Lytechinus pictus: one gene and its partner. The protein of the gene in region 1 purifies or fractionates together with the protein of each later gene. This does not show direct contact. Links are inferred from orthologs where the notes say so. Each region holds a gene or a part of one and is shown on either strand. Other genes may lie near its edges. The genes, in order: E3 ubiquitin-protein ligase UBR5-like and dual specificity tyrosine-phosphorylation-regulated kinase 2-like.

Region 1 (15,835 bases):
ATAGCTCAATATACATATTTACAAAATATAACATTTAAATCATTTTTTTATAATACAATAATACCATGAAAATCGAAAAGGGAAGGAGACCAACTAAAAAGCAGAGCTTGTAGGGTGAAGGCCCCCTTTTATAAGTAAATTTTATGAATAAAAAATAAGATAAAATAAAGAAATAAACAATATATATATATATAAAATGAATAAAAAATAAACAAATAAAAATAAAAATAAATAAATAATAATAAAAATAAATGATTCAGTATACACTGTATACAGAAATCATAAAACGATTAAACATATATATATACAAAGAGAAATTAATAAACACATTTACATATCAAGTTCTGAATTACATTACTTTGGGAAAAAACGAATGAATACAATTTGAACTTGTGAAGCTCAAACATACCTTGTTATATCATTAAAAAAATGTGAAGTCATAAGTGCATATGAAAATTTAAAAAAACATGCTTCATCTCTGACAGATTTAGGACACAAATAACTGATGCTTACATGTACATGCTCAGGATATTAAAATAGTTTTTAAACCAGACCTAGATCTATCATGATATGGTGAAAATTTCAAACACTTTCTTCAGTTTCTTGTGAAGTCATTACTTGCTGTAAGTACAGGTTTTTGATTTCAATTACTTCCAATTTGTCATTGTTTTTATGTGATGCAATGTCAATTTTAAAATAAGTTTTTAAAGGGGAGGGGGAAGGTCAGATACTATTAGCTATCCTACCTTTTCTGACCACCATTCTAGATCCTCTCCAATAACCACAGGGTTCTGGCTGTGCCCTGCAGCTCCCCCACGTCTGCTATCTGATGTTCCTGCTGCCTCAGAGCTACCAGCCTTCATGTTACTAGCTCCTGATCCAGTGTCTCGGAGTACAATCTCGGGCCAGCGCCGCTCCCGGCTACGCAGCAGTGGATCTCGCTCAGCATCACGATCACGATCTACATGTACATATGCAAGATAAAAGCAAACAAGTGGAATGCCTCTGGCCGTCTCACCTGCATCACGCGATTCAATATAGCAGCAGTGCTGATTTTGAAAACTACTATAACTCGCACAAGATGTTCAGTGATACTTGGTTACTCTTATTTCCACGTTTTATGAACTAGACCAATACACTTATAGAGATATGATGGCAATTCAACAAATACCCCCAACGTGGCCAAAGTTCTTTGACCTTACATGACCTTTGACCTTGATCATGTGACCTGAAACTCGCACAGGATGTTCAGTGATACTTGATTACTCTTATGTCCAAGTTTTATGAACTAGACCAACACACTTTCAAATTTATGGCTGTAATTCAACAAATACCCCAATTTGGCCAAAGTTCATTGACCCTAAATGACCTTTGACCTTGATCATGTGACCTGAAACTTGCACAGGGTGTTCAGTAATACTTGATTACTATTATGTCCAAGTTTTCTGAATCAGATCCATAAACTTTCAAAGTTATGATGGTAATTCAACAGATACCCCCAATTCGGCCAAAGTTCGTTGACCCTAAATGACCTTTGACCTTGGTCATGTGACGTGAAACTCATGCAGGATGTTTAGTGATACTTGATTAACCTTATGTATAAGTTTCATGAACTAGGTCCATATATTTTCTAAGTTATGATGACATTTCAAAAACTTAACCTTAGGTTAAGATTTTGATGTTGATTCCCCCCAACATGGTCTAAGTTCATTGACCCTAAATGACCTTTGACCTTGGTCATGTGACATGAAACTCAGGCAGGATGTTCAGTAATACTTGATTAACCTTATGGCCAAGTTTCATGAACTAGGTCCATATACTTTCTAAGTTATGCTGTCATTTCAAAAACTTAACCTCAGGTTAAGATTTGGTGTTGACGCCGCCGCCGCCGTCGCCGTCGGAAAAGCGGCGCCTATAGTCTCACTCTGCTATGCAGGTGAGACAATATACCATTGGATTTGAATAAATGATCCTTATTAGCAAACTTGCATTGCAACAATTTACCAGTGAAAATTTACACAAGACAGAAGATATTTTATGAAATGTCTTTCCCTGCAGTTGTTAAGTGCTGAACACACTGATCTTTTTCTTGTACCTTTACTGCCATAGTCTCTTGTTCTGATGGAGGAAGACCTAGGACCTATAAGAAAATAAATATTTACAACACGGATCCCGGCAAAATTACCACATAAGAACAATTAAGTTACCTCTACTGCTGGAGCCTCTAGCTCTGGACCTCGATGGCGGTAGGCCCAAGAACTCCTCCGAGAACATGGCGTCAGCATCAATGATGACGCTTGGATGATCCGAGTGGATACCACCATCCAAGAGTGAGACAAGGTCATCACCACCAGACAGATAGGTGTCATTCTCCTCAGGATCTTCACCATCTTCATCATCACGGCTCAACAGGTTGTTGACTGCCAGGTTGACATCCAGGTTCTATTCAAAGACATTGGGGGAACAATGCATGAATTGTATCATAGATGAACATATAAATGTATGCATCATTAACATGAAGATATTAAAACAAGGTTTCCTAAAGTGCTTAATAATATGATATCAATGCAAGGGCTGCTGCAGGATAAAACTGTCAAATAAACTTACCATAAAAAAAACGCCCCACAGTGACTACATTTAAGGTAAAGCAACTGGAATTAGTCAAATTTTATCAGATATTTTAAACCAAGTAACTGAAATTAGATGCAACAATGATGGATTATTTGTACATTTCTATAAATACTGTAATCAATTCAAAATCAAATTTCAGCAATGCTCCTCTATGTAATAACATGTAGGAGAGAAAAAAAATGAACAGAATATTCACAACAAAGAGTGGAATTCATGTGTACTATCGACCAGGAAAGATAATTATCTTCTGGAAATTTTAACGGGTATAGCACATTTTCTGTGTTGCATTAGAATTTGTCCTACAGTACTTACAGTCCTTTGGAGCTCCCTGATGATGACCGACCTGCTCTTGCCCTGTAGGACTACCTGTGCCTGGGACACCAGTTCTTCAGGGACAACAGATGCTGGGACAACTGGCCTGGTACCCACTATCACCCCACCACGACCTCGAGAGTGAGCACGGATGACACGCCCTCGATTACGGGAAGCACTGGAGTTGTTGTTTGATGTTGTGCGATTGGATGGGGTACGGCAATTAGAGGACCATTTACTATAAAAAATAAAGATATAATTTGACATAGATTATGTTCAACAAGTGTTCAAGAGGGATACATCTCAAAAGGTATTGGTAAACGTTGATTTGACTTTTAAAAATCTTCGCTGGAAGGTCCCATTTATTACCTGCGTCTGTGATGTATTGTAAATATCAAGCCCTGAAAAATTGCATCTGAAAAGCATCATTCAGTGCTTCACAAAGTGAATAAATAAAGTGACCAGAAACAACCTCCCAATTCTATTCCTTATATTACATGAGCTACATGTGCAATCAAGATCTTCAAGCAGTGAAATTAAATGATGATTTTTCAGTCACAGATATCTTGAAAGTGTCTACCTAAAGTAAATTTTTAGTTCTACATGAATTGGTTTTCTATCCATGCGTAAAATATATAAAATAATATTTTAATTTCTCACCTAGACGAAACTCCAGAAGGTTCATCGGCATTGATGAGCCAAGGGTTAAGAGGATTAGTAGGCCTCGACGATGATGATGATGATGAAGAACGAGCGGAAGATAACTGAGCAGAGGAGGCCCAGCTCTTCTTGCTGCTATAAAAAAAAAATCAAAATGAGTAGTATATCTTACATGGGGCATCTTTTCATACACCCTGTAATATAATTTGCATGCATAACTATCAATAAGAATTTTACAAATGCATGCATAATATGCTTTCCCTGATCAAAGCCCACCTACCCAACACTAAAAATAGCATCATGTATGTAAAACTGTCTGTGTGCACACGGTTAAAAAAAAAACATTATACAACTGAACAATTGATATTATTTGTTGTAACAGTAAAAGAAACAACTTAATCACATTTATGGTTACCGGTACATGCGATTCAATTGAATAATTTGCCCAATTAATTGAGTGGAAACATATCTCATTGATATGAATAGAAATCAATCATACTGAAAGGGATCTTACCTTTTGGAGCTTTCATTCTTAGTTGGACCACTGTCGACTTTCTCAGGGTTGATTGAGAATCCCATACGACATACACGACCATCCTATGTGAAGGAATTATAGAGTTGTAGGTTAATACGTATCATGACCAATACATATAATCATCATCATCATCATCAATAACGCCATCATCCTTATCATCACCCCTGCCACTACTATCACCAACATCACAGCCAAAATCACTATCAGCTATTTGTACACCATCATCATCACTATCATCAATATCCTCATCATCAATATCATCATCAACAATATTATTACTATCATCATCCATACAATCGCTTTCCGACTACGTTTGACACATCATGAGACAACTGGTTATTTCTTCTACTCAATCCTTCACCACGATGAACCTTTCCCATATCATCATCAATACCATCATCACCTTCATCATCATCATCACTACCACCACCACCAGCATCATCACTATCATCAATACCCTCACCAACATCCTCATAGCCAAATTTACTATCACCTACACCACACATCACCATCATTGATAACATCATCATCACCATTTGTAAAACAATCATTAGAAGCAGCAGCATTATCATCATCATCATCAATCATCATCATCATCATTAATCAATTCAAGCTAGCAAGCCCTAAGTTATCAAATCTGATCCTTTCTGTGAAGCCTTTGGTTTTGATTGGCAGAGAAATATGAATGTCTGGCAGGTGATAATGGTAACTGACAGAGAATGACAAATCCTTAATGCTGTATGAAACCGCAGTCTTACCTCAAGAAGAAAAGCTGCATGATTTGGTCCAACAGTTATGCTTTTCACTGGAAGGTTTTTCAGGGGTAAAACTCCTGAAGCACTGTAAAAATGAAAGATGGGATGGATCACATTTATCACTGTTCATCACACTGAGTCATGGCAGGCAGCTATTTGACATCTCCAATATAATAAAATGGTACTAACAGTAGAGCCCAACTTTTCAATAGTTGTCAGATTGATAGATAAGGGAAAATTGGCATGAAACTAATTTTTTTTTTTTTTATTGTCATACTCTCGTCAAAAGGTCTTTGAGAGATTTGATATTCCATTAATTTTTTCTGGTGGCCTTATAAGGAAAAACAATAAATGATCACATATCATCAATTTCTATGAAGCACTAGAAGCATCCAAACAACCAATTCCCCACACAGCTGTGCACAATGTGAATACCATTTATTCTCTGTGCTTCTTTTTTTTAATCAGTACCACTGCATCAAACTCATTATTAATATTAATGTCTACAGAACTTTATCAAATTTCAACAAATTTTGCTAAAAATCTAAATGTTATGTAGGCCTATGTCTGAAATTCATAACTCAGAGACAATTTTACTGTTTTGTTTTTTCCTCTAATGAAATATTATGTTGGAAAAGCGATGCATGTCTCATTCTCAGGCAAAAATTTGTTGTTGTTTTTTAGGCTACTTTTCACAACTTACTGCCTAAATCTGCAAACATTGGATAAGCTTTAACATTGCAAGGAATGGGGATTTCCAGGGCTCTTGTGAGCATTTCCGAGGCGAAATCGCCCCAGCCCACATGTAATTTTTTTTCCGTCACTCTGCTATGCAGCCGAGAAAAAAAGGGCACCAAAAATATCTAAGGCCAATGTCAATGAGAAGGGCTTCGACGCCAATCAAAAGGGCATCCAAAAGGCAATATCCTTGTTGGCCTTGGATTAATTTTAGCCCTGAAAAGGGGATCACACAGACACTTACCATGGTGCTGGTTGCCTGTACAGTTTCTCAGATAACTCTCTCAATCTGTTAAATTTAAAGAAATAAGAAACAAAGAGCATTAAAAATGCAATCACTTATATCCCCTCTTTTCTTTAATTGTCTCCAATAAGTCAGGCATAATGTTTTGGCTATTAGTTTTTCATATACAGTGTATTTTTTATTTAGAGCTATGTATAAATGTATTTTGTTACAGTTTGCAATCATGTCAAATATCTTAGTATTTTTCCAAATGAAAAAAAAAGACTTTTACACTTAAAAGAAGTTTACCCAAGTTGGAAATAACAAGCTTATTTTAACAAAGAGAGAACAAATCCAACAAGCTTAAGGGCAATTCCATAGGTTGGTGGACATTAGCTTAAAAATTCAAATTCGATATACTGCCCATCTGAACTGTACATTTTAATTGTGTTTGCCTTACTTATACTTATTGCTGGTTCTTTAATTGATGTTGAGGTCTTGAGGCAAGAAATGGAATGCATTTGTTTTACATTTTTTGATTTACACAGCCCAAGCCAGATCTCGTACAGTTTAGTGAATACATTACCAATATACTGACCAATAAGTATAAAAAGAGAGGAGGAAACTTATTCAGAATGTTACCTTTAAACACAAACTGGTGTCTGAAATCCTACTCATATTATTACAGAAACAGAAACATGAATCTTACACACATTATTGAATTTTTAGTGACATTTATGTTGTTGACCATACATGGACAAAATGTAACGTAACCGTAATGTGAGTAACCACTTTATCTGCACCCCTAGTAAAAACCATGTGCTCTTTATTTTTGAATTATATACAAAGTTTGTCTCCCTAATATACTTCTTTGAAATGGATATAATCAACTTTCATAAAAGCCTTGTATGAGGACACTTTTCACTTACGTCGACTTTTCATTTTATGCATGTCCAAATAATGTAACATGAGTAACCGACACATTTCAAAGATTTGACAGGAGCATAATAAAATTTCCCACGTTTTGTTTTTGTACGAAGGATAGTCAGACTGTGTACTTTGTTGTGATAAAGAGATGTTTAGTTCCTGTCAATAATAATGGAGTTACAGCTCCAAGTATGAGTCAAGGTGTCTCCAAATGTAACGTGGGTAACCGTGGAATAGCCCTTAACATACATTTCATCAAAATCAGATGTGAATAAAAATACATTTTTTATAAACTCCCTATTTCCACAAAACAGTTATATAACAGTGATTTATAAGCAAGAGTCCGAGATGTCATTCAATCATTATTTTTGTATTCCATCAAATTAAATATATTTTCATTCCCTTTTTTAAGATTTTACAATAAGAGAGACTCTTCACCAGATCACTGATAGGCTACAAAAGCCAATTAATGTTTAAATAGGAATAAAATTTTGTTTGACAATATCAAAAAATTGAATTACATGTACATCATGAAAATATTATTTAACAAATAGTTAATGGGTAATAGGCCTGGGAGTAAAATTCGATCCATCGAAGCATTCGATCAGTTTGCCAACAATCGGCACTCGAATGTTACTTTTTACACTAATCGAATGTTCGCCAGATGATGATTACTGATTTGAAACATTCGATTATCAAAAGTACATGACTGTAAACTTAGATTTTTGAAAACAAAGTGCAAGATATCAAATGAAAATTATGCTAAAATTAACGAATTCCAAAGATCGTATCTCTTTCATGACACACAATGACGACTAAGCCGCGGCGACCGCGCACAATTCAGATGTGTTGGGCTGATGTGCACGTACGTCTCTATAGGCGCTGTGCTGGACGCACTGAGTCGGGTGAGCTCAGTTTGCTCATTATACATTGTATGTGATCACAGCCACGCCCAATAACCATTCCAAAAGCACTAACAAATACGCCCATATTGTCATAATAGTTAACTTGTACGCGAATCCTCTGAATCAGTCCTGAGAAGCCACACCTCAGTATCGAACTTGCTATATTATGATGGGTATGGCCTAGTGAGGGGGTTTCCCAATGACAAATTCGGTGCAAAAGCACTACAAATACTGCACATACATTCCCACTAATTCCCACCCTATGGGCGGGATGTCAGCACAAGTACGAAATGCAATACACACAACGTTCTCGCCAGGTTCACTCTGACGCTTGGCGGCGCGAAGCGACGCAAGCCGCGCAGCGCCCTCGGTGCGTGCGAAGCACGCACGGGGGGGAGGGTTCGGGAGGGGGGTGTCCCCCCTCCCGCGCAAAGCGCGGTAGCTGTCGAAAATATCAATATCGACGAGCTTAGATTGCTGCTAAATGCACCACATTTTAAGTCTATTTAATGCTTCTCCGACCACACAGCCGTAACGGTTGCGCGAATTGCGATTGAAGCAGAAAGGCAATTACTGATAACTTAAAAATTGAAGTCAATCTCATTTTATACTTACAGTTTATAGACTATTTACATCGATAAATTAACTCCATACTTTCCAATGTTCAGATCGATATCGCTACATCCTTAGAAAGTGCGATTAATTTTGTGAATGCGTGTTGTTTCTTATGTCAATGACCGACTGCATCTACGGACCGCATGCGTAGCCCTTTGAGCTTGCATCTACGGACCGCATGCGTAGCCCTTTGAGCTTGCGCTGCGTCACGCCCTTACTAAATCCAAAGATTGTTCCGACTTTATACCTCGGTCACATTTGTTCTACGGCGGCCGTACGGCGAGTCGAAAACATTTTTTGTACCAGCTGAATATAGGTGGTTACCGTGGTTTGAATAAAAATGAATAAAACGGCTGTTTTCGACTCGCCGTAGAGCAAATGTGACGGAGGTATTATTTGGAAGCCTCGGAAGTTTTCTTCCGAGGCTTCCAAATAATGGGCATCGGTATTCATGAGACGGGGTCCCCAACTTATATAATTTGCATGGTTTTTTGTTTGGTTTATTCGATACTCACTGAAACTATAACTCTCATAAGACTTCTGTTGATGATGTTTATACTAATAATTTCCAATCGAGATTCTTTTATCACTGTCAATTATTGCTGTGTTCCTTTGTATTGTTCGTTACTCACCTATAAAATAATGAATGTGCTCATCACGAGCGTGAGAAATATTTTTAGTCATTCATTATACTGTAATATTACGAATTTGTTTTTCTTAACTGCGATTTAAAATGTTTTGAAAGTATAGGTTAATTGACAGGAAATAAGATTTATATTTTTACATAATACATTATGTAGGCCTACAAATACAGCGTGTGTGAAAGAGAGGAAGAGGGGTGGGGTTGTATGATGGTCGAAGGGAGAGAGCGATAGGGGAGGGGTCGTGACGTGGACAATAACAAGGGGATGTTGAGATCGTGTGTGTGGGATTGGTGAAGAAGTCAATATTCAAAGCGAATACATTTTTATAGACGTGTCTATACTTCTACCGATGATGACGGCCGAATAATCTTTCTTACATGTATATTTTGGTGAATTAAAAAAATATTTTCTTGCACCATGAGTGGGATGATCGAGGTACGTGATTCAATAAATTGCATCACAATATCACTATAGGTGTAGTTTGAAAATCACGAACAGTTTATTAAAAATGAATAAAAGAGAAAGATCCTCTTAATTTTATAGCCCCCATCCAGCGTCAACACCATGAAGAGTTTTTGAGGTCACGAAATCAGCTGATTCGCACTCAAACAACAGGTTAACAGGTCACACACGTGGGACACGTTCCAAGGGCGGGAATTCGGGGAAACCCGTTTTCAAGCACAATGATTGGCTCAACCCAGAAAGTGAATACTAATTAGATCACGTGCCATCGGCTTTGGGGCGTCTCGTTCACATTCCAACTCATTTCATAAATATCATCCACTCGCAGTATAATTAGGCTAACGACGTTGCCAAGATATAACTCATATATTAAAAACACAATTCCGATATAAAACAATAAAGACATAAGTGAACTTGAAAAATTCATCCAACGATATTCAAATTATACTAGCAACTCATTGTGGACGTGAAAAAACGATATACATATCCGATATCCTCTAAAACGTTCACACATATCAACTTCAATAATTCGTACTTGAAACGAATATCTGTGAATGAATTGCCAATTCCACTTTGTTGAATGTGTACTTCTATCGAAATCTATTGAATCACGTACCTCTCCCGACCCAAGGTGGATTTTCCAATCGCCATAAATATTATGCAGCCACAATCACAGTAGACACATCCATAAATGAATATTAATTTCATTCGCTACGAACTTAAAGGAGAATGAAACTCTTGGAGCAAGTTAGCTTTTGTGAAAGCAGAAAAATCAAAGAATAAGATCAACAAAATTTTGAGTAAAATAGGACGACTAGCAATAGAATAGTTATGAGCATTTGAATGTCGAGATCACTGATGCTATGGAGATCCTCCCATTGGCAATGCAACCAAGATCTATGATGTCACAGATGAACAACTCTCCCCTTTTGGACACTACAAATATACCCCAAAACATCTCTTTTTGCTCATTCTAATCATATGACAAACGATTCATCAATGATATAATGTTGTGAAACCTCTGTACTTGTCCTCTCATAAAGAGAACACCTCACCTTGTGATAGACTCTATAAAAGTGAGAATATCAGTGAAATAAGTACTTAATCCCCTCCCCACAAAGTCACAAACATCCCATCATTTTCATCTACATTGCCCACGGCCACCCCCCATTCTCTTTTTTCCTTTACACAAATTAATTTCAAATGATATGTTGTTTTAAATCGTAGTTAAGCAATTGTACAACAAATTCATAAAGCATTCATGTGATGACTAAAAACATTTCTCAGGCCCGCGACAGGTGCGCTCATTATTTAATTGGCAGGCAAAGAGTAATAAAGAACAATACAAATGAAAATACACTGTACGTATAACTCACATTAAAAAAATGAGTCGTAATGATAAAAAATGTGAATAATATTAATAAAGATTATTAATTATGAAAATTATAACAGATTCAATGAATATATGAAAAAAATGAAATTAAATTAGTTTTGGATTCCATCTAATTTTGGAAGACTATCGGATCCCCGGATCAAGGATTTTGATGCCATGTGCGATTTGTATTATGAATGTGACCGTTGCGAGCGCGAATGCAGTGGCACAGAACTTGGTAGACACGCCGTCGCGAAATTAATCAACAGTTTCAAACGATCGACGTAGAGATCAAGACTTTGGAAATAATGGAGTAAAATCGGAATTTAAATGTGAATAAATCATTTTGATGTAAGTAAATGAGTTGGACATTATATCAATCCATTCCATTGGCTTTGTCATTATTAACATGATCTTTGAATAGTTTTTCTCAATTCGCTCTACGGCAGTGTCATCAGAAATGCATTCAATGAATTCATGTAGATGTAGCTATAAAGGCTGGGGCCTGGGACGAGATGAAACTATATTTCGATCGAATTTTGATAGTAATTTTGACACACTTTATTTTTGACATAATAAGTGACAATATCAAATGAAATTCGTAATAATCTAAGGCGGGACGTCAATATCCGGGAGGGGTGTGCAAACGCGTTTGCACGCCCTCATTACTTTTCATGCACGGGCTTGCACGCCACGAAGTTAATGAGGTTGAATTTGCATATCAATAGAGCACCCTTGCGATCATCGCGGAGTGACATAACGAGCCCGTGCAGTCGCGTTCTGGCACTTCTATTGTTCCCGGGCATTGGGCTGGCAAGCCTAGAGGAATTTATTGGCGCGTGTAGAGAAGTTCCTTACCTCAATTGTTTGCCGTGAAATGTTGTGAGGGTGCAACTACTAGTATAATGAATGACGATGTGTGCCGTAATTAATTGGTTGGAAGGCGTGACAAGTATTCAAAGGGACAAGAACCTGGACGGAAAAATTTTGCTCCGGCGAATCGCTTATTCATGCTTACACCTTCGTCACATTTGCTATACGGCGGCCGTACGGCGAGTCAATAACAGCCGTTTTAACATTTTATGTACGAGCTACATAATGTGGTTTGTATAAAAATGAATAAAACGGCTGCATTCGACTCGCCGTACGGCCGCCCTAGAGCAAATGTGACCAAGGTATTAGTACCTGATGATGTGAGCTTCCAAAAATATGTATATAATTCCCGTAAATTCCTGACAAAGATGGAAAGGGAAATAAATTTTGTTTTGGCTACCAGCGGAAGTAAAATGCGATCCGTCAAAGCGTTCGATCAACCGCGGCGACCGCGCACAACGTCTACAGGCGCTGGACCCACTGAATCAGCTTGCAGAGCTCTGTTCGCTCCTGAAGATGTGACTACAACCGTGCCTATAATAATTCCAAAAGCGCTGACAAATACGGCCGCATTGTCACTGGTACGTGATTCCTCCGAATTAGTCCTCAGAAAAGTTTAGTCACGACTCAGTATCGTTCTTGCGGTGTACCCGCACGCTTAATATCAGTTTAGATACCATGTGCGCGCAAGCATACACAATACAAGGTACTTGAGGCAGAGCTTTGCCGCTATGAAACAATCTTCTCTTTACGCTACGTATAGCTCCAATAGCTCTAGCTTTTGCAGTAGCGTACGCAGAATTTTTGAAAGGTAGAGTTCGAGTTCAATGAAAATTTGACAGAGGTTTTCACTCCCCCCCCCCCCCAATTAGGTCTTTTCATAAAAACAAAATTACAAGCAATTTTTTTTTTATCTAAGTGGAGGGGGGGGGTGAACTCCTGCAACATTCCCTGACCTTACCTCGGTCATTTTTGCTCTATGACGGCCGTGCGGCGAGTCAAAAACAACCGTTTTAACATTTTTTTTTGTAATAGCTACAAACACGTGGTCTGAATAAAAATGGATAAAACAGGTGTTTCAAACTCACTGTACGGCCGCCGTAGAGCAAATATGACCGAGGCATTAGGAACGCAAAATCATGAGGATGGAAACTTGGATAAAGCAATGTACATTATTCAATATTTGTTATGACTTCTCTTAATATCATGAAATGGCTGAGCAAATTACTTGTATATTTCTTAAAATAACTCAAAATGATGAAGAAACGAGTATTGATTTGAAATTATGAAATGATGAAGATTGACTTGCATTTTTACATTACAAATGTTTATTTTGCTTCTCAAATGGGGGGCATGGACCGACTGTGCCCCCCTGCATCCTCCAATGCTCATGGGTACTAGCATTCGTATTTATGCATACAACTTGTTGAAATCCTCATCCATTCCCATTTCCCAGTCATGTTCAGTTCTTAATCTCCTTTGTTATTCGTTCTTTGAGTAGTTCGTAGTGGTCAAGAATTTGTTTAAATTATTCTCAAGACCCCAATGCACTTGAGTTACTTCGTTTTAGGAAAGATAACTCTTAAAGTCCCTTTGAAGCTTTGAAGTGAATGCCCTGGAGCGACTTGAATGGGTTCGATTAACTAACACCGTCTCGCACGTGTTGCGAACAAAGAAGGTGTGAAAATTACAATTAACAACTAACAATAGGAAGAATCCGTTTCAACTGAAGTTACGCAACGATCTCTGATAATCTCTAATTGTGCTTTCTTGACCCCAATGAATCCTCCCAAACCACATTGTCCAATGACGGAACTACTACAAGTAGTCAGCGTTTGTGAAAACGGAATGATGATCGAGGATGATATAATGGTGATGGTAATAATGATGTTGGTGATAATGAAGAAGGATAAGGAGGATGAGGATGAAAGCGATGGTAATGATGATGACGATAATAACATTTTTTTGTTTTTTAATCTATAAACATAATGATGTGTGAATAAAAAAAGACATTATGATCGTGATGATGACATCGAAAAGAAAGGTAATGATGGCTGATTATAATAATGGTGATGATTATGATTGTAATCCCAACGATGATGGCAATGACAAGAATGGTGATAATAATAATTATAATGTTGTTATAATGGTGATGGTAATAATGATGGTAATTGATCACGAGAATATTTATTACGACAAGATTGATGATTATGGTAGCAATATAGTGATGATCAGAGGATAATATTTTGCTGTGGGGGACAATAATGATGCACCCTATGAACAAAGGATATATCCTCTGCTCCGCCGCCCGCGGTGATGATTTATTAATGTTTTATGATGATGACGGTGATAATGACAGTGATGAAGGTGCTGAGATTAATTATGATAATAATCCTAGTTTTGATGATTACAATGATTATGATTATGGCGATTGTGATGGCATGACAGTGGGGGAAGGGGCATGCTTGTCGAGATTGAATTTCATTTGAAAATTAAAGGTAGGTCCTAGACTGAACAGTTTCATGAGTGTTTCTCACCAAGGCGAACTTCTACTTCAAGCTAATTACGGAGCTGCAACTCTCTTTAGTTGGTTCGAGATTCGACCCATGAACCTCATATACAGAGAACGAATGATCAATAACCAGGTAACATAATGGTATACGATGTCAATTATGGACGAATTTTTCTCCTTATGTCTATTTATCGTATGGTTGACATCACAATGAGGCAAAATTTGATTGCATGGTGACTTCTTAAAAAAAATCCTAAGTTTGGGATTTTTAAGGGGAAGGTAACACTTATGCTGGATTTTCCCCAACAAATATGATTTTTTAATCTTGTAAGAATGATGGTTGAGTGAACAGGAATTGTAAATTTAGTGTAGCCTATTCATCTTGTAGACCTAAGCAGTGTGTTTTGTGAGTCAGAGTAATGTGATGGTACCTGTTACAAGCGAGAGGGCGAGATATGGTAAGACTTGGTTGAAAGGGCATTCATCATCTTTTTGTCATTTTACAAATAAAATTCTTATGTATCTCCACCCCCCTCAATTTCCCAGACCCCTCTCACTTCCTGGATGGTAGCCTATTCAAAACTTATTTGCCACTGAAGTGACCAGTGGCTGATAGTAATTTTTTTCTTCTTTTTATTGAATGATTACCAAGAAATTGACTTGATTATAATTTATGAAATACTTTATTGAAAAACTGAATGTTTGATTGATTACATTGCCCATTGAAATAGTTGATTTATTGATAAATTGTTGATTGATAGGAAAAGTTGATGCCCCAATTATCATTATAATTAAATTAACATTCTGCTCTGGACTTCACGCGTACATGACAATAAAAATCAGTCACTCAACAGAAGGGGTGGGCGAGAGAGAGGGAGGGGGGCTAAAATGTTCTGTTGACCCCTTTTCCATCAACCTACTTCTCCCACTTACGTCAAATCTCACCCCCTATTTTCCTGACTCCAATGAACACATTGCTGAGAGCCACATGATAATGTTGAAATGTTGCCCAAGATGTGTAATTTTGTGTAATTTATGTGTAATTTTTGTTCAATTTAATAATTCATGAAACTTGCTTAAACATTCATAACTGGTTGATCAATAATTTATCACAACGCCCTTAACATTGCAAGTTCCAAAGCCAAATGATTTGCCCCTCAAAAACTGACAAAAAATGGAAGGCTAATTCCAGCCCAGCATAATTATCATACCATTTGTTTCAGTAGGCAGTGTTCGCTCAATCGTGATAGTATTTCAACTTTTTGGTGTCATATGAAAGTTGATTTTAATGGCTTCCATAACATGCAAGTCTTTCCCCCCAAAGTGATATATTTTTTATTTGGCAGCCATTTCAAAAGTGTATAGTTTTTTTTTGTGGGGGCGCACTGTGGTAGTAGAAGGGAATAGTTATGCCCGTAAAAGAAAAAAATTATAAAATAACCAGAGAACCAAATAAACGAAAAATCCATACTCCACAACCCGAGCCTCAAAATAGAGGCTCTTCAAAAGTCCGACAAATGCAGAACTTGCTCTTGTATAAGTGACTCGACCCTGGCCTGGTACTTCTCCAATACCCAGTAGAGTCGAGACGACGCGTCGCGACGGTTGGCCGTGGATCTACAGGTAGTCAACGGGGGTCAAAGCTTGTGCAGTCGGAGGCAGTCGGAGGCA
Region 2 (15,840 bases), on another chromosome or scaffold:
TTTTGTTACCACTTACGTGCACCATTTTGAATTCGAAATCTGAAATATGGAACATGCTTTAAACATCGTCTCGTTGTAGGCCTATATAATTACGAGAGAGATAATTTCTAGTATGGGCGGATGAATTAGGGAGAAAAGAGAGGAGAGATGAAGGGTATAGATATTGAAGAAAAAAGAGAAATAAATAGGGAGAGACGAGAGGAGAGCTAAATGATGACAGTTAAGAAAAATAAAAAGGAATGAGACGAGAGAGAGAGGAGAAGAACAGAAAAGTGAAAGTAAACATAATTACAAGAAAACATTGCGAACTTTACAACTGTTTGTTGCCTGTCGCTCAACTCAAGCTTATTTCTCGAAACCTAAATTCCTAAATTTTCCAAAACTGGCATACTATCATGAAATGAGAGGATACTGATCGACTGATCAAAATCGGATGTAAAATAAGAAAGTTATGACATTTTAAAGTTTTGCATAATTTCACAAAACAGTTATATGCACACCCTGGTAGTTGTACAAATGAGGAGACTGATGACGTCATCCACCACTATTTCTTATGTATTTTAATATCTGAAATATGGATTTTCTAATTTTCTCCTCATTGTAATGTGAAACAATTTATTCCTCTCTAAACATGTTGAATTAGCATTGTTTAAACCTATGTGGTTCAGTCAAGTTCGTCCGGGGGTGACAGTCAATATTGCTGTACACATGCGTGACCCCCCCCCCCCCAAAAAAAAAAAAAAACTTGTTTAAAGCGGTGTTTTTTTTTTCAGTTTTGGACGCGGGGTCAAACGTAACAGTTGAGGGTATGTTTTTTTTTTCGATAGCTTTTTTTTTAAAGACTAACCAAACGTATTGAGGGTGTTTTTTCCCCAAGCTTTTTCTCCGTGGCTTTTCCTTGTTTCTAAAAAAGTGTTCGGGCCTGAGACAAAACTTGTTTAGGGGTCATATTCTGGCGACAACTTGTTTAGGGGCCAATATGTGAAGCCCACAAAAAACTTGTTTTGGGGGTTATTTTTCACACAGAGAAAACTCGTTTAGGGGTTTTTTGGAAATAATTTGGTCACGCATGGGTCACGCATATGTGTACAGCAATACATTGACCCCCCCCCCCCGGAGTTGGTCCTAATTGTCAAATCTGTAAAAAATGAAATATTGTATAATTAAAAAAAAAAGAAGTAATAGTGAGTGATGGACATCATCGACCGTCTAATTTGCATGCTACTGAGATGTGCATATTGTATCACTGTTTTATGAAAATAAGCAAAACTTTAAAATGTCATAACTTTCTTATTTTACAACCGATTTTGATGAAGTTTTGATGAAGATTTTCTCTTTTTATTCAAATCAACTTTTTGTTGGGGGTGGACTTGTCCTTTAAACATTTGACAATAAGGACAAAAAAAATATTCCACATGTTCAGACCGCATACATTCGTAATTCCGAAGGATAGAATATTCCGAAGGTTCGTTAGTCCAAAAACGAAATAAGGTTCGTATTTCCGAAGGTTCGTTAGTCCGAAAACAAAACAGGGTTTGTAATTCCGAAGGTTCATATGTCCGAAAACAAAATAAGGTTTGTATTTCCAAAGGTTCGTTAATCCAAAAACGAAATGAGGTTCGTAATTCCGAAAGTTCGTTAGTCCGAAAACGAAATGAGGTTCGTTAATCCGAAGGCTCGTTAGTCCGAAAACAAAAAGAGGTTCATTTATCCGAAAGTTCGTTAGTCTGAAACGAAGTAAGGTTCGTTAATCCGAAAATAAAATAAGGTTCGTTTGAAGTAATTATTCTATTCATGTATTCCATGAAGTTTTCATAATATTCCTTAATCAGGTCTGATCGTAAAAACTTATCAGCTGGCGCTGCGTGCTTGCATTTTCATTAGTATTTACTTCTATATGAATTCTATAACAATTTACTTAAAATCCCTATGACAGTTTATCCAAAATTTCAGTTCGCACTTCGCACTTGACTAACAAGTCACTGTTTGCTACCCCTTCAAAGAAAAAAAGGTATGAATAGCCGTTTGGTGAAATGTGAATGAAATCCCCCCCCCCCCCTTATTGGCAAAAGCTCGATCCACATCTGTATAATTAAATGTGTATTATATCCATACACATGTAAATTTAATGTGAAATGTGTGCCCCTTCCCCTCATTTCGAAAAGCTGGTTATGATGGCTGCGGATTGCATTTTTGCCCCACCTCAGCCAAAAGGGGGGGGGGGGGTTGAGGTTTTTAATCACCCCTATTCTGGTCCAAACAATCACCCCCCCCCCGCGCAAAGCAATTTTTTTTAAAGGTTTATAAGTGGTAAACATTTAATCAAAAATTTATCTTTTAGTGGACATTTTGAATTTCAAAATGCATCAACACGCCCTAAGCGATATATGATTTGATAACTTTTATGATAATTATTATTTTTTTCCTACTATATAATCTTTTTTTTTCCCGTCACACCTAGCGGATTACAATATCAGTTACACCATATGTGTATTTATATTTTTTCATATACATTTCTTTTTTGGATATATTTATATACATATCACTTATAGATACATATTTACACTTACCTTCTTCTCTTAGTTTGTTTAATGCTTTATCATATATACTTATATGTCTTTTGCACATTATCAGTTGTTCCCCATTCTTTTCTTTTTTTCCCCCACTCTTATGCACCAGTTTATTATGCCTTTCTTTGTAACCTGTTTGACCCACCTCTCACTAATTCTCTTGTTATTCATCCCATTATCACTGTTTTGTTCCAGATCCTGTTTGATGTTGCCTGCCTCATTATCTTAATCCCTCTTGGCTTGAGGTCTTTTACTGGCCTTACTTACACTAACTTCCCTTTGTGTCTGCCTACTCCTTTTCTTTCATCCCCTTCACTAACCTGATTGGTCTTCTCTACTCACTAATGCCCCTTTTGTCTCCTTGTTTCTAGTGTTGCTGTAGCTTGTTTGTGGTCTATATTATGGTTGTTCCACTTTATATGTTTGTCATTTTGCCTCCGACGAAGATTCTGCTAGGATCGAAAGCTTAGGCCCCTTTTTGACTTTCTGATAATAATTATGCTTTAATGTTTTTTTTTAATAGTAGTTTTCTCGTTGAATGCATTTATATTGTATTTGTTTGATGTTCAGTAGTCTTTTTTTGTGTATGTTGTAATTATTATAAACATGTTCAGTTTGGTCCTTGTACCTTTGTATCATGTTACATTTATCTATGTTTAAATGAATGAGGGAAAAATTTGAACTAGCCTCATAAGCCTATAATGATCCCTTTGAGAGAATTCTGCGTACGTAAACGCCCCTGGTAACGACAGATCAGCCCCTTCCCACAGGTGCGGTGAAAGCGCGGGGGGGGGGGGTGGGCAGGTGTCATCACTTGCACCCCCCTAAAAAAAAATCCCTGTAGGAACGAAATACTATTTTTTTCAAAATGGGAATTTCCCTTGTTTTTTTCAAAATGAAATGTGCCGTTTTCGAAATGAAAATAGCCTTTTTAAAGTAACATTTAGATGAGAAAATCCCAATTTTTTTTGTTATTTATTTTTAATAAGGTAAAAGTAAGAAGGCTTCGCTCTACTTTACTCTACTTAAATTGCTCCACCGCCCTTTTGACTCTCCATCCTCATAACAATTGAACAGCAGCGGTGTTTCTCTCCCCCCCCCCCCCCACCTCCTTCCGCCAGGGGCGGATCCAGCTTTCGCCAATAGGGGGGGGGGGGGAATTGTACCCATATTTTGCCCGATCGGCCGCTCAAAGTTGATTTTTATTGAAGGGTTATTCCTATAACAGTCACTTTGGTTTGACTTTAGAAAAATCTGAGCTAGAAGGTCACACTTGTCACCATGTGTCTGTGATATATTACAAAAATGAAGCCCAGAAAAAATTGCGTTCGAAAATAATTATTTAGTGCTTCAAAAATTGAAATATAAAGTGACCGAAAACACCATCTTAATTTCATCCCATACACTAATATGTGTACTATTTAGGCGTCTATAAGACGCCTATTTACTAGGTATCAGGACAACTACCCCCTGGACAATCACCCCCGGACAACTACCCCCCGGACAATTACCCCCCGAGGACAATTACCCCCCGGACAACTACCCCCGGACAACTACCCCCCGGACAACTACCCCTCGGACAATTACCCCCGGACAACTACCCCCCGGACAATTACCCCCCGGACAACTACCCCCGGACAACTACCCCCTGACAATTACCCCCCGGACAACTACCCCCCGGACAACTACCCCCCGGACAATTACTCCCTAGACAAAGGGAGTGCACAGGTCGGCCGTACGTTTGACGTAAGAAGTACTCAAAGGCATTCTCGAGTATCTTGGAATCAAACGTACGCCGTAAGAAAGCTGTAAAATTGAGCTCCATCCAAAGGCGGATCCAGGGGGGGGGCCGAGAGGCCCGGCCCCCCCCCCCCCCCTATCAGCAGAGCAAAAAAATGAAGAAAAAAAAAGGGGGAAAGAAAGAAAAAAAGAAAAAGAAGGGGAAAGAAAGAAAAAAAGAAAAAGAAGGGGAAAGAAAGGAGGAAAAATAGGTAAAATAAGAGGAGGGAGACGAGTGAAAAAAAAAAGGTCAGGGGATGACTTGGAAAATGATTAAAAAATATTCATGTCACTATATTTTTGTCGCTCGCGCTCGCATAGCCTGTTCGATGAGATACACATCTTGCTAAATAGGCTGATATGTAGCTTAAAATGTCAAGTTTTGAAGTCGATATTACAAAGCATATTTCATTATTTTGTTTGATTTACAAACTGATTTTTAAGTGCTCTGTTTAATGTCTGTTTTATGGTGTGAATATAACTTGCAGCTTGCGCTATGCGCTCGCATTATTTGATTTGCCAAATTATATAACAAACAACTTAAAACCCCCCTTTTATGACAGTTTACCAAAAATTTCGTCTCACGATTTGCGCTCGCATTTTAAAAAAAATATATCAACTCACAAATCCTATTCATGATTACAAAAGTGCTTAAAATATCCAGTTTTCAGGCCTCAGTGTCAACACATTTTACTCACTCATTTAGGCTTATTACATTAATAAATATGATAATAAAATTTTCATGAATTCTTAATGACTAAATTATCCCTTTTCAGAAAAGAATATCGACAATATCACAGTTTCATATGTTTCATATCGCGCTCAGGAAGAGGAATAACAAAGTTGTCATCATTTTCATATGATGACAAAATGTCCTTAGACCTAGAATGTCCAGGTCCTAGGTTAAAAAATAATAATGAAGATATCAGCTCGCGCTTCACACTCGCATCATTTATTAAGTGCTTTCCATATCCACTTCACAATTTCCCTACACAATGCTTTAGATAGTGCTCAAATTCACCATTTTCATACCGGAATATCAAGTATTTTCCGCTCGCGCTTTGCGCGCGCAATGCTTTTTCGATGAGATTAATATCTTGCTCAATATAGGCTGATATGGAGCTTAAAATATCAAGTTTCGAAGTCAATATACAAAACATATTTCATCTCGGATATCGAGCTTTCATTATTTTTAAATTTACAAATTGATTTTTCAAGTGCTCTGTAAAATGTCCATTTTATGGTCTAAATATTAATATTTTCAGCTCACGGTGCTCGGTCGCATTACTTGATTTGCATAGGCCTACTTCTTTATAAATTCTTCCAAACTGTCCTTAAAATGCACCTTAAACGAATTGTATACTATCATGATTGCCAATTTGTATAGAAAAAACACTGTAATTGATTATGTCATATTGTTTACAATTTAGTAAATTTGGTACTTAATTTCCTTCTTTAATGTTTAATTGCTTTCACCCAAGAATAAAACACACAAAAACACCTTGTAATTTACAAGGTGTTCTTGTGTGTATTATCTTTGCATAAAGTTTTTTAGCTTACTGTATTAAGTTATAAAGCCACATCTTAATCTGGAATGTGCACCAATTGTTTCATAATTCTTAGCTTCTTGTTAGTTGAACTGTTTTAAAATAACAGATTTATAGGAGTGTTAGTGTTGATAGTTGCGTTAACGACTTTCAATATTTCTACCTATTTCTACCTCTTTTTTACGTTTTATCTATTTGCCTGATTTCTTACCTGAAATCAAACCCAAAATAAATATTTAAAAAAATCAGATCAGTTGGAATCAGAGATATTCAGCATTTGTGATTATTATGACTAATCGTGTTCAATTGTTCTATGAAAACTTAGAATGAGGGCCAGTTTACAAATTTTCTGATGTATATATGCATAGCCAAACGGGAGGTTTCGGGTGCAAGCCCCCCCCCCCCATTTTTCATGATGTAGAAGGCGCCGCTAAACAAAAACAAAAAAGGAAAAAAGTAGAAAGTGAGAGAACAGGAGAAAGAGCAATATAAAAGAGAAAGAAAAAGTTATGAACGTAAGGTAAAGTAGAAAATATTTCGGAAACCTGTGCCACCGACCAAAACTTACAATGGGTCCCGCTTAATTCTAACATTTGATGCTGGAGAGAAGGGGGGATTTTCTGAAGGTAATTGTCCTCGGGGGGGGGGGGGTAGTTGTCCTCGGGGGGTAATTGTCCGGGGGTAATTGTCCTCAGGGTGTAATTGTCCGGGGGTAGTTGTCCGGGGGGTAATTGTCCTCGGGGGGTTATTGTCCGGGGGGTGATTGTCCAGGGGGTAGTTGTCCTAGAACCACAAAATCGGGGTTTGCCTTGTAGTTTTAGCTTTTCATTCTCAATAATGGTTGTTTTCAGGGTTTATTAGTTCTAATACATGCACTTGTAAACACATTTTTCATCTTCGTTTGAGAATTTTTTAAATCGGCTGCTCACAAAGTTAAACAATACCTTTAACCTCACAAAACATAAATAAATATCAATCTCATACTCATATAAGCCCGAATTGAATAGTACGAGCGTGAAGCGCGAGCTAATTTTTAAGAAAATGTTATGTATTTTGTCCTGAAAATTGAACATTCTGAGCAATGATTGCGATCAACAAGATGTTTATGTAAAAATCACTGCGAGCGCGAATCGCAATCAGAAATTCAAAACATACGTTCTGGCCTGATGGGAAAACAGACATTAAGGACTGTTTGCAGTTACCCATGAAAACGATTAAACTTCATCAATCAAATAATGCGAGCGCGAAGCGCGAGCTGAAAATTTTTGACATTTTGACCTAAAAATTTGACATTCTAAGCACTTTTTTGTCATCATAAACAGGATAGATATATAACTATATAACTTCATGCGAGAAAAAGAGATTTGACCTAAAAATGGGACACACTTTTCATGGTTCGTAAATCACGAAAAGGATGACTAAAATTTGGCATCTTCCTATATTAATAATGCGAAGCGCGAGAAGAAAATTTTGACATTCTGATATGAAACTGGATAATTCAAGCACGTTTTGAATTAAGAACAAACTGCGTATCTATTGTGTGAGTCTGTTTTTAAGATTTAGACCCCCAAAAAATAGAATCTGTGAATTCTAAATACATTTACTATGAATTATCAATAGGCCTAATGCGCGAGCGCGATCAGCTGAAATATTCCACTCTGAAAAAGGGACGTACAACTTCATTATTAGGAATTCATGAAACTGTTACCTTATTTATCAATCTGATATTAATGAGAGCTCGAAATCTGTTGATATTAAGGCCTGAAAACCGGACATTTTAAGTATTTTTTTAAATATTGTATTACGGCCTACTTGTGCGCTTATGGTAATCCTCCTATGCAGAGCTATTAAATCGGCCGTTGATGGAGTGCAGGGGAATGTCAGTTGCGGTATAGCGTGGTTTTGCTTACATGACTGTTGAACCATGCAACAGAATGCGGTGCCACTGCGAGTAATGAGTATAGGTCTACGGTGGGGATCGGGCCGGCAGTTACGAGGCCGTAAATTAAACATGTGTATAATACCTCCTTCGTACTTTTCTTTCTGTTTTTCAGCGTTTCTCTCAAGTTAAAAAGGACTTTTTTTTATTGCCAAAAAATAGGGGGTCGGCTAGCGCTCCCCCCCCCCTTGGAACCGCGCCTGGCCACTCTTATCTTCCCGGGTTTCCCGGCTTCGATCGCCACCGATTATTTCCTCTTTCGGATTAACGAACCTTCCTAGGGATACCTGGGGAAGTTTCTGAATGTAGGCATGTTATGCCTCTGTATTCAGTTCTATAGGTTTTTCCTCCTTCGGAATAAAGAACCTTATTTCCTTTTCGGATTAACGTACGAACCTTCGGAACAACGAACCCTTTTTCGTTTTCGGATTAACGAACATCGAGGTATAGGCAATTTACGTGTTTCGGAATTACGAACCTTCGGAATAACGAATCTTCGGAATTACGAAATGTAACTGCATATGTTCTCAGACAGCCTGGAGTATATTGATGCGGGGGGGGGGGGGCGTGGGGCCATATCCCACTCAAGAAGTGTGTGGGTGACGTCATTCGGGACGTCATCATCTCCCTCATGTTTACAGGCCAATTATACGACCAAGATGTGCACTTCACTAGCTCTTATGTTAAAACTTTTAAATGTCACAACTTTCGATTTTGATCAAATCAACTTTATCAAAATCAACTTTTGTTGGGGGGGGGGGGGGGGGCTTGGCCCTTTAAAGCTAGCCGCAATCGTAAAGCCCCCTAAACCACCCTCAACTATACATTTATATCGAGCATTTCTCTGGTTAATAAGTACCTAACTCTACTCCACTTTAATTCATGTTCTTGTCTTCCGGAATTCTTGATGCCTGAAAGGGGCAGGACTCTGGGCTGAAAATAAGTATATCTAAATAACTTATCTAGAGTAAATTAACCGAGAGAAGAAACAAATAACGTGTGTGTTTTCAAGGGAATAAATTCATAGTTACAAGGTAACCATTCGCTTCACCTGGGTTGAGTGCAGCACAATGTGGGTAAATTTCTTGCTGAAGGAAAACACGTACACTTTGGCTTATTATCGAACCCACGTCCCTCAGAAGACAAAAGTCTAAACCACTAGACCACAGAAAATGTTGATTTTTTTATATTAAAATCAGATGTCAAGTATGACAAAGTTATTGAACTTTAAAGATTATAAATATTTTGTGAAAACAGGTACACACGAATACTAGTAGTTATTAGGTGGGCTGATGATTTCATGTCCCCACTTTCCCTTTACATGTTCAAACAATATGATTTTCAGCCTGGAGTAGCCTACTTATTGGTTGACCTACTTTCTTTTGAATTTATTACATCATATGCGATGAAAGAATTAGTCAATCCCGAATATGTAAAATATTAAAGAATCTATATTATATATCTTTAAAAAGATCAATTCAAATAATATTGGCATGAGTGAATGAATGGATTTATTCAAAACCAAACATAAGGGACGCACCATTAAATACCCAGGGGGGGGGGGCTTGAAGTTTGGGTTGATGCAATTTTTCCCCTTTCTTTTTTTCCTTAGTCCATTGAGACAAGTCCCCCCCCCCCCATTCAGATGATTTGTCAGTGAACCAATTTTTTTTTTTTTTTTTTTACTCTGATGGCGAGTCAATTTTTTTGGGAAAAAACTTCCAGCCCCCTGGATATCTAATGGTGCGTCCCTAAGCCTACATCACATAAGTTTAAATGCTGAATAGCAATAATTGCTTTAGGACCAAAAGGGAAACTAGGATTGTAACTTAATTAGAGAGGCCCTATCCAAAATAGGCCTATAGGGCTTGCTCATGTCTCTAAAATGCTGTAAACAAAAATATTGCACAAACTCATGCAGCCAGGCCCAATTAGGCACTACTACTGCGGATATATGAAGCTCCTTGATGAAGCGTAATTTTCCCTGACCCCAACCGTTCTCCCCGAAATCTGACAATATGATTTTGTGTTTTAATTTTTATCAAAATTTTCTATTGAAGTAAACTCGATTTTTTGTTCCAAACCTTGTACAGTCGAGATAGTCTAGAGATATACAAAAGGATTTCATATTGTGGAAGCATCGATTTTGTCTCCATCAACAAAAGAGAAGCAAAAATCTTCTTCACTTTATTATGCAAATAAGCTCGAACAGACTCTTTGATTGGCGCTTTGTGATCATGTGTTCTATAGTTGGCAAGAAACGTCACGCTAATGGTGACGTTGTAAACAAGCTAGCACTCAGTGTATCTCTATAGCAACAAAGGGCACATTCCATGGTGTCGCTTTCCCGGTCATTATGCAGCCATATTGAATACAGCACCGAAGGAAAATTATTGCTCCAGAAAACGTGTTAAAAATGGATTTTAAGCTCGGAATGTAACGCTGACTTCTACTTTCTCTAAAGAGGAACGATATGGTTGACTCGATGGTTGATACAATTTCAAGAAAGTCTAATTTACAGGCGTCGAGGACCCGGTCCTTGACGCAGGGAGACACAGCTACCACGGCTCTCTACCCGCACCACGGACATGGCTCGCACGTCGAGCTCCCCCCGATCAAGAGCCACACACTCGGGGCTGTCAAGAAAACCAACGAAAATGTCCCAGCCGGTTTGCAGGTTACACAGCTCTTTGAAACGGACGATAATCATAACTATAAAAGGCAAGTGCAAAATAAAGTGATAGCGAATGGTCATTTATCACATGATGCAAATGCTCTGCCTGATGTCAAACGTCCTGCAAGCGATGGATCGAAAAATGGATCTGCTAAAGGAAGAGCGCTACCAATGACACCAGAAGAAAGCATGAAATTGTACATGCACAAACTCACTTCATATGAACATCATGAAATATTTAACTACCCACATATTTATTTTGTTGGACCGAATGCAAAGAAACGGCAAGGAGTAATTGGTGGAGCGAACAATTGTGGATATGACGATGATCAAGGTTCATACATCCATGTGCAACATGATCATGTCGCGTATCGTTATGAAGTGTTGAAAATACTTGGAAAAGGTAGCTTTGGACAAGTTGTGAAAGTTTATGATCATAAGACAAATCAGCATGTTGCTGTGAAAATGGTGCGCAATGAAAAACGTTTCCATCGTCAAGCCCAGGAAGAAATTAGAATCTTGGAACACCTACGTAAACAAGACAAAGACAATAATATGAATCTCATTCACATGTTTGAGAGCTTCTCATTCCGTAATCACATATGCATCACATTTGAACTTCTAAGCATGAACTTGTATGAACTCATCAAGAAAAACAAGTTCCAGGGTTTCAGTCTACAACTTGTCCGGAAGTTTGCTCACTCTCTTCTTCAGTGCCTTGAAGGACTTCACCGGAATAAGATTATTCATTGTGATCTTAAGCCAGAGAACATTCTGCTAAAACAACAGGGAAGGAGTGGAATCAAAGTGATTGATTTTGGTTCCAGCTGCTATGAGCATCAACGAATCTACACATACATCCAGAGCCGCTTCTATAGAGCGCCAGAGGTTATCTTAGGAGGGAAATATGGCATGCCCATTGACATGTGGAGCTTAGGCTGCATCTTGGCCGAGCTTCTTACAGGTTACCCGCTGCTACCTGGTGAAGATGAGGGTGATCAGTTGGCCTGCATGATTGAACTCATGGGCATGCCCTCACAGAATCTCATTGACACATCAAAGAGATCCAAGAACTTCATCAACTCCAAAGGTCAGCCACGTTATTGTACTGTTACTACACTTCCTGATGGAACTACAGTGCTTAACGGTGGCCGATCTCGTAGAGGGAAGGTGCGTGGTCCACCAGGGAGCAAGGATCTTGTGAAGGCACTGAAAGGATGTGATGATCCGCTCTTTCTTGATTTCCTGAAACGATGTCTCGAGTGGGATCCATCAAGTCGTATGACTCCAAGTCAAGCCCTCCGTCACTCTTGGCTTCGTCGCCGTCTACCAAAGCCACCTGCAGATAGTCATACAAACACCACCTCGGCCAAAAATAAACGTCATGGCTCTTCTGCAGTGTCTAAGCTTCCTCCCACTGGTGCAGCTGGTAAAGACAGGCAAGATGTATCGCAACGGACTGTTCTACCAAAAATAGTAACATAGTGTCACACATATCCTGCCTGATTTTGAAAAGAGGTTGGATTGGTCCTCTTTCTGAAATGAAGAAATGGGATTCCTTGCTTTGGAAGGATAAAGCAAGTAACAATCTAGCCATAATTTGCTGTGTGTGTCACCTCAGTGCCACAAGTGGTTTACAGTGTCTAGATAAAAGTTATATGCATCTGATCCTTGCAGATATTTTGTTGAATTTGATGCCTTACATGTACATGTATCTCGAGCTTTGGTGACTGCAGGTGCAGCTGAGCAACATTTCCAGCATAGATTACATGTAGGTTCAAATGATTTATTGTTGCTAATTGAATTGGTGCCAAAACCAGTGTATTTGTTTACTTGCTGTTGGTGTGGAGGGTGGAGATATTTAATGAACATTTGACTGACGCATTTAAATCAAACTGTTTTACCTCATACAAAGAGAAATAAAAGAAAAGGAAAAATAAGTTGTTATGCAGGTATAGAACTTTACAATACAGTATGTTTGTATGTTAAAGTGGGTATACACATACATTCCATGTATTCCTTGTTGATTTTGCTTTATGTGCAAAATAAAATAAACATGAAGCTGCATAGCTGCAGAAACTTCACAATAGATTTAAGCATTCAAAGAGTATCCGTCCATGTTGTTAGTTGAACTGTATTAAGATGTTGCACATGTAAGTCACTGACAAAGCAGTGATATACATTTTAATTTACCGGTAATTGAACATATCTTGAATGTGCTCTTCTGTATTGGGTCTCTTGGGTGCTTTGCAGTGGAAATTTGGAAAAGCTTTGCCCTAGAAATTTAATTCCATTTTCAACATGCGCTTTCCTACATTTTTGTGAATGTTTATATGCATTGAAAAAAAAAACAATGCATGGTTTGCTCTATTTTTCTTTGATTGATCAGTTTTGATGGATGTGTCAAATGTTGATCATAGTTTTATAGAAGTGATCTGCTTATTTCTGATGCTAGTAAAGATGTTAAAAAAAAGACATGTAATCAACAGTGCTTGTTGCCAAGATTTGTCAGTATCAAGTTCATCATTGCATTGAATATCTGGGGCCATGTTGCACATATGATAAAGTTGCCATCCTTTGGTAATTTCCCAGAATCCTTTACTCTTGATTGGTTGCTTAGCATTGGAACCATGATAGTTACTATTTGATGGCAAACTACAGGTTCCAGGCTCAGCAAATATCTACATGTATCTATGTATAAATTTAGTTTCTTTTATTCATCATTACCCGTGAGTGGACAAAAGGAATGTTTGGAGATTATCCATTTATAGTAATGTATTTGTTTCCCTTTTATATAGAGTTGCTGACTTGCTGGTTCATTGTTATTTTCTTCATTTGTTATCTGATTCACCTTACCAATTGATTCAAATGACTATTGAAGCTTTGGCACATTTTGTTTGATGATGGATTGTGATGTATGACAAGCATGTTCTGTAGTCATTGATTTGAAAAAATTTGCACTTCCTCAAATTTGCTGTATTACACTACAGACTACAAACACTTGTGAGTGTGCCCCATACCTCTAGAACAACGTGTTTTCTCATCTGCCAAGAAGAGAAACAGTGCACTGTTAATGAATGCCTGTATGCAGTGCCAGGTATTAATTATGAAGGAAATAGCATGTGCTCTGTGTGGTGTACAGGCAAGTATAGTTTGTGAGGCTTAGTTAGAAGGTGTTTTGAGAGTGTGCCAAACTACATCTGATCTTGGCTTTCTTTCATATTGCAAGCCAGAAGACCGAGCACATTGTAATGCATGTACAAGTACATGTATAAGTACATGTACTTGTATGATAGCATTACATGTACATTAGGTAGTGAGCCATTCTTTTAAGAATAAAGAGACAATTTGTTTTGATATGTCATTCACAAATTCTTCTTTTATTACGCATTCATTTACTCATATTCATATCAAAGGTTCAACTTTTCCAAGTAAAATCATTTCAGACCGAATTGAACGTTTCAATATAAGAAGTTAAATTATTATTAAACATTGAAAACCACAATCCACATGCATTTAGTGATTGTCCTTTTGTATAAAGTTGACTTGTATCTGAATGTTAATTGTTTACTTCTTATTCAGTCCAATGTGGTTTGTTTTGAGTGAATTAGTTGTTCACCTTCTTGAGAAATTGCTACCTTTTATGTGTTCAAAATGTTAATTGGTGTATAATTAATGAGTCCCAATTTCAGACTTTTACTCGCATTAGTACTAAAGTACATGTGCATGTATATATACATATTGTACCCTCATTGAAATTAAGCTTTCATAGTACTGTGAGTAAACTGGCAAACATGCAGCCCTTTGTATAACCATAGAGCTATACTATGACTGTAGATTACATCATCCACTGTAGCCCTACTTGGGATTTCATTTTCCATTTCCTATGATTGTGTGTAGTCCATTGTAAAGCTGCTCAGTAGCATGTCACTGTGAGCCATATGAAGCCTACATGGTTGGTCCTTGTACACACAGAGTTATGAGTAATCAACATTGATCAGGTTGATATGTAGAGTAGGTGATAGTGATACTGATGACAGTGCCAGACAGGAATGCATTGACCTTTGGGATATTCTACACTATCCACCTGTCTTATTCTAGATCTTTAGGATAAGCTCTGAACACCAACTGATGGTTAACTTTCTATTCAACCAGGTGTTGCATCCTAATTAGCATCATCTGTTATTGATCTCTGTACAAGAAAACACACAGGTGTAGTTCACACAGTCATATACATAGGGATAGGAACAGAGTTCAGAAGCATGTTGTGTATCTATTTAATTTTTGCACTTCATCATGGGTGTGATATGAATTATATTGACATCTGGTTGCTGCAATTGATTTATTTGATATTAATTTGTTCAGGTTCTAATGTTAATGTGTGAATCTGTTATGAATGTTGTCACCTTGATGTACCGTACTCATTTTGGAATACTTACATATTTAAAAACTTGAACACTGCTTCTTTTTAGCTTTGCAAACTTTAGGAAAAGGTATATCAATAAATGTTTTGCCAAAAAAGGGTGAAAAAATATCAGTTGTTTTATGTCAAGTTGTAGGTGTTGAATTATCATTCAACACTTATCATAATGTTGAAAACTGTACCCTTATTGTGCAAGTCTTGTAAGGGTTTGTAAATTTCAAGTAAGAGACGGTTGCTTTTATTTAAAAAGTGATCTTTTCCTGTACATTGTCCTTTTCATGTACATGTTACCCCCCCCCCCCCCTTTTTTTGTGGTAGAATGAATTTCCTAATCTTGTTGGCCTTTGTTATTTTATCAAACATCACTTGACTGGGTTGGTTTTCTTATTACATTACCTGCAATGGTATTTGTATTTTATTGAAACCCAGATATCTATGAACAATTCTTATATTTATGACAACACATACAAAGCTGCAGGACAGCTTTTATTCACCCGCTTTTAAAAAACCCTTTGAATTGTGGTAATTTTTTAAAATGTATATAGACATTTACAATTTTAGCAGTTTTCATGCCATCATTTTTATTTTTCTCCAAAAAGAGTTGAAAATATAGAATAAGCCGTTACTGTCAGATTTTTGCATATTTCAGGTCGATTAAAAAAAAATTGCTGTATTCAGGAAACAAGTTAGATGTGATTATGATACAAGTACATAAAAGAGGTGTGCATGTATAGATATGTACACTGTAAGTTTTGAATTTGAATACTGTCTTCATGGTGATGCGGGATTCAGACCTCTCATCTGTGCTCTAATACCAATGGTGTCACATCTGAGCACTGTGATTGTACCAGTTCAAGCTCAAAATCTGACAAAGAATTTTTGAGAAATGGTATACTAGTATATTCTTC

The links.
Region 2: the proteins of E3 ubiquitin-protein ligase UBR5-like (region 1) and dual specificity tyrosine-phosphorylation-regulated kinase 2-like purify together in Homo sapiens (affinity purification with western blotting; 3 studies listed by BioGRID and IntAct, with this or other methods). This does not show direct contact. The link is inferred for Lytechinus pictus from reciprocal best matches to the Homo sapiens genes UBR5 and DYRK2.

Annotation. Positions count from the first base shown.
Region 1 is NC_087245.1:27,707,948-27,723,782, reverse strand, and holds the start of E3 ubiquitin-protein ligase UBR5-like, read right to left. Parts: upstream 7,713-15,835; coding exon 7,651-7,712; intron 5,921-7,650; coding exon 5,876-5,920; intron 4,979-5,875; coding exon 4,897-4,978; intron 4,201-4,896; coding exon 4,118-4,200; intron 3,739-4,117; coding exon 3,604-3,738; intron 3,182-3,603; coding exon 2,944-3,181; intron 2,443-2,943; coding exon 2,208-2,442; intron 962-2,207; coding exon 747-961; intron 1-746. UniProt on the Homo sapiens protein: E3 ubiquitin-protein ligase involved in different protein quality control pathways in the cytoplasm and nucleus. Mainly acts as a ubiquitin chain elongator that extends pre-ubiquitinated substrates.
Region 2 is NC_087247.1:78,633,916-78,649,755, reverse strand, and holds the start of dual specificity tyrosine-phosphorylation-regulated kinase 2-like, read left to right. Parts: upstream 1-9,450; 5' UTR 9,451-10,308; coding exon 10,309-11,994; 3' UTR 11,995-15,840. UniProt on the Homo sapiens protein: Serine/threonine-protein kinase involved in the regulation of the mitotic cell cycle, cell proliferation, apoptosis, organization of the cytoskeleton and neurite outgrowth. Functions in part via its role in ubiquitin-dependent proteasomal protein degradation.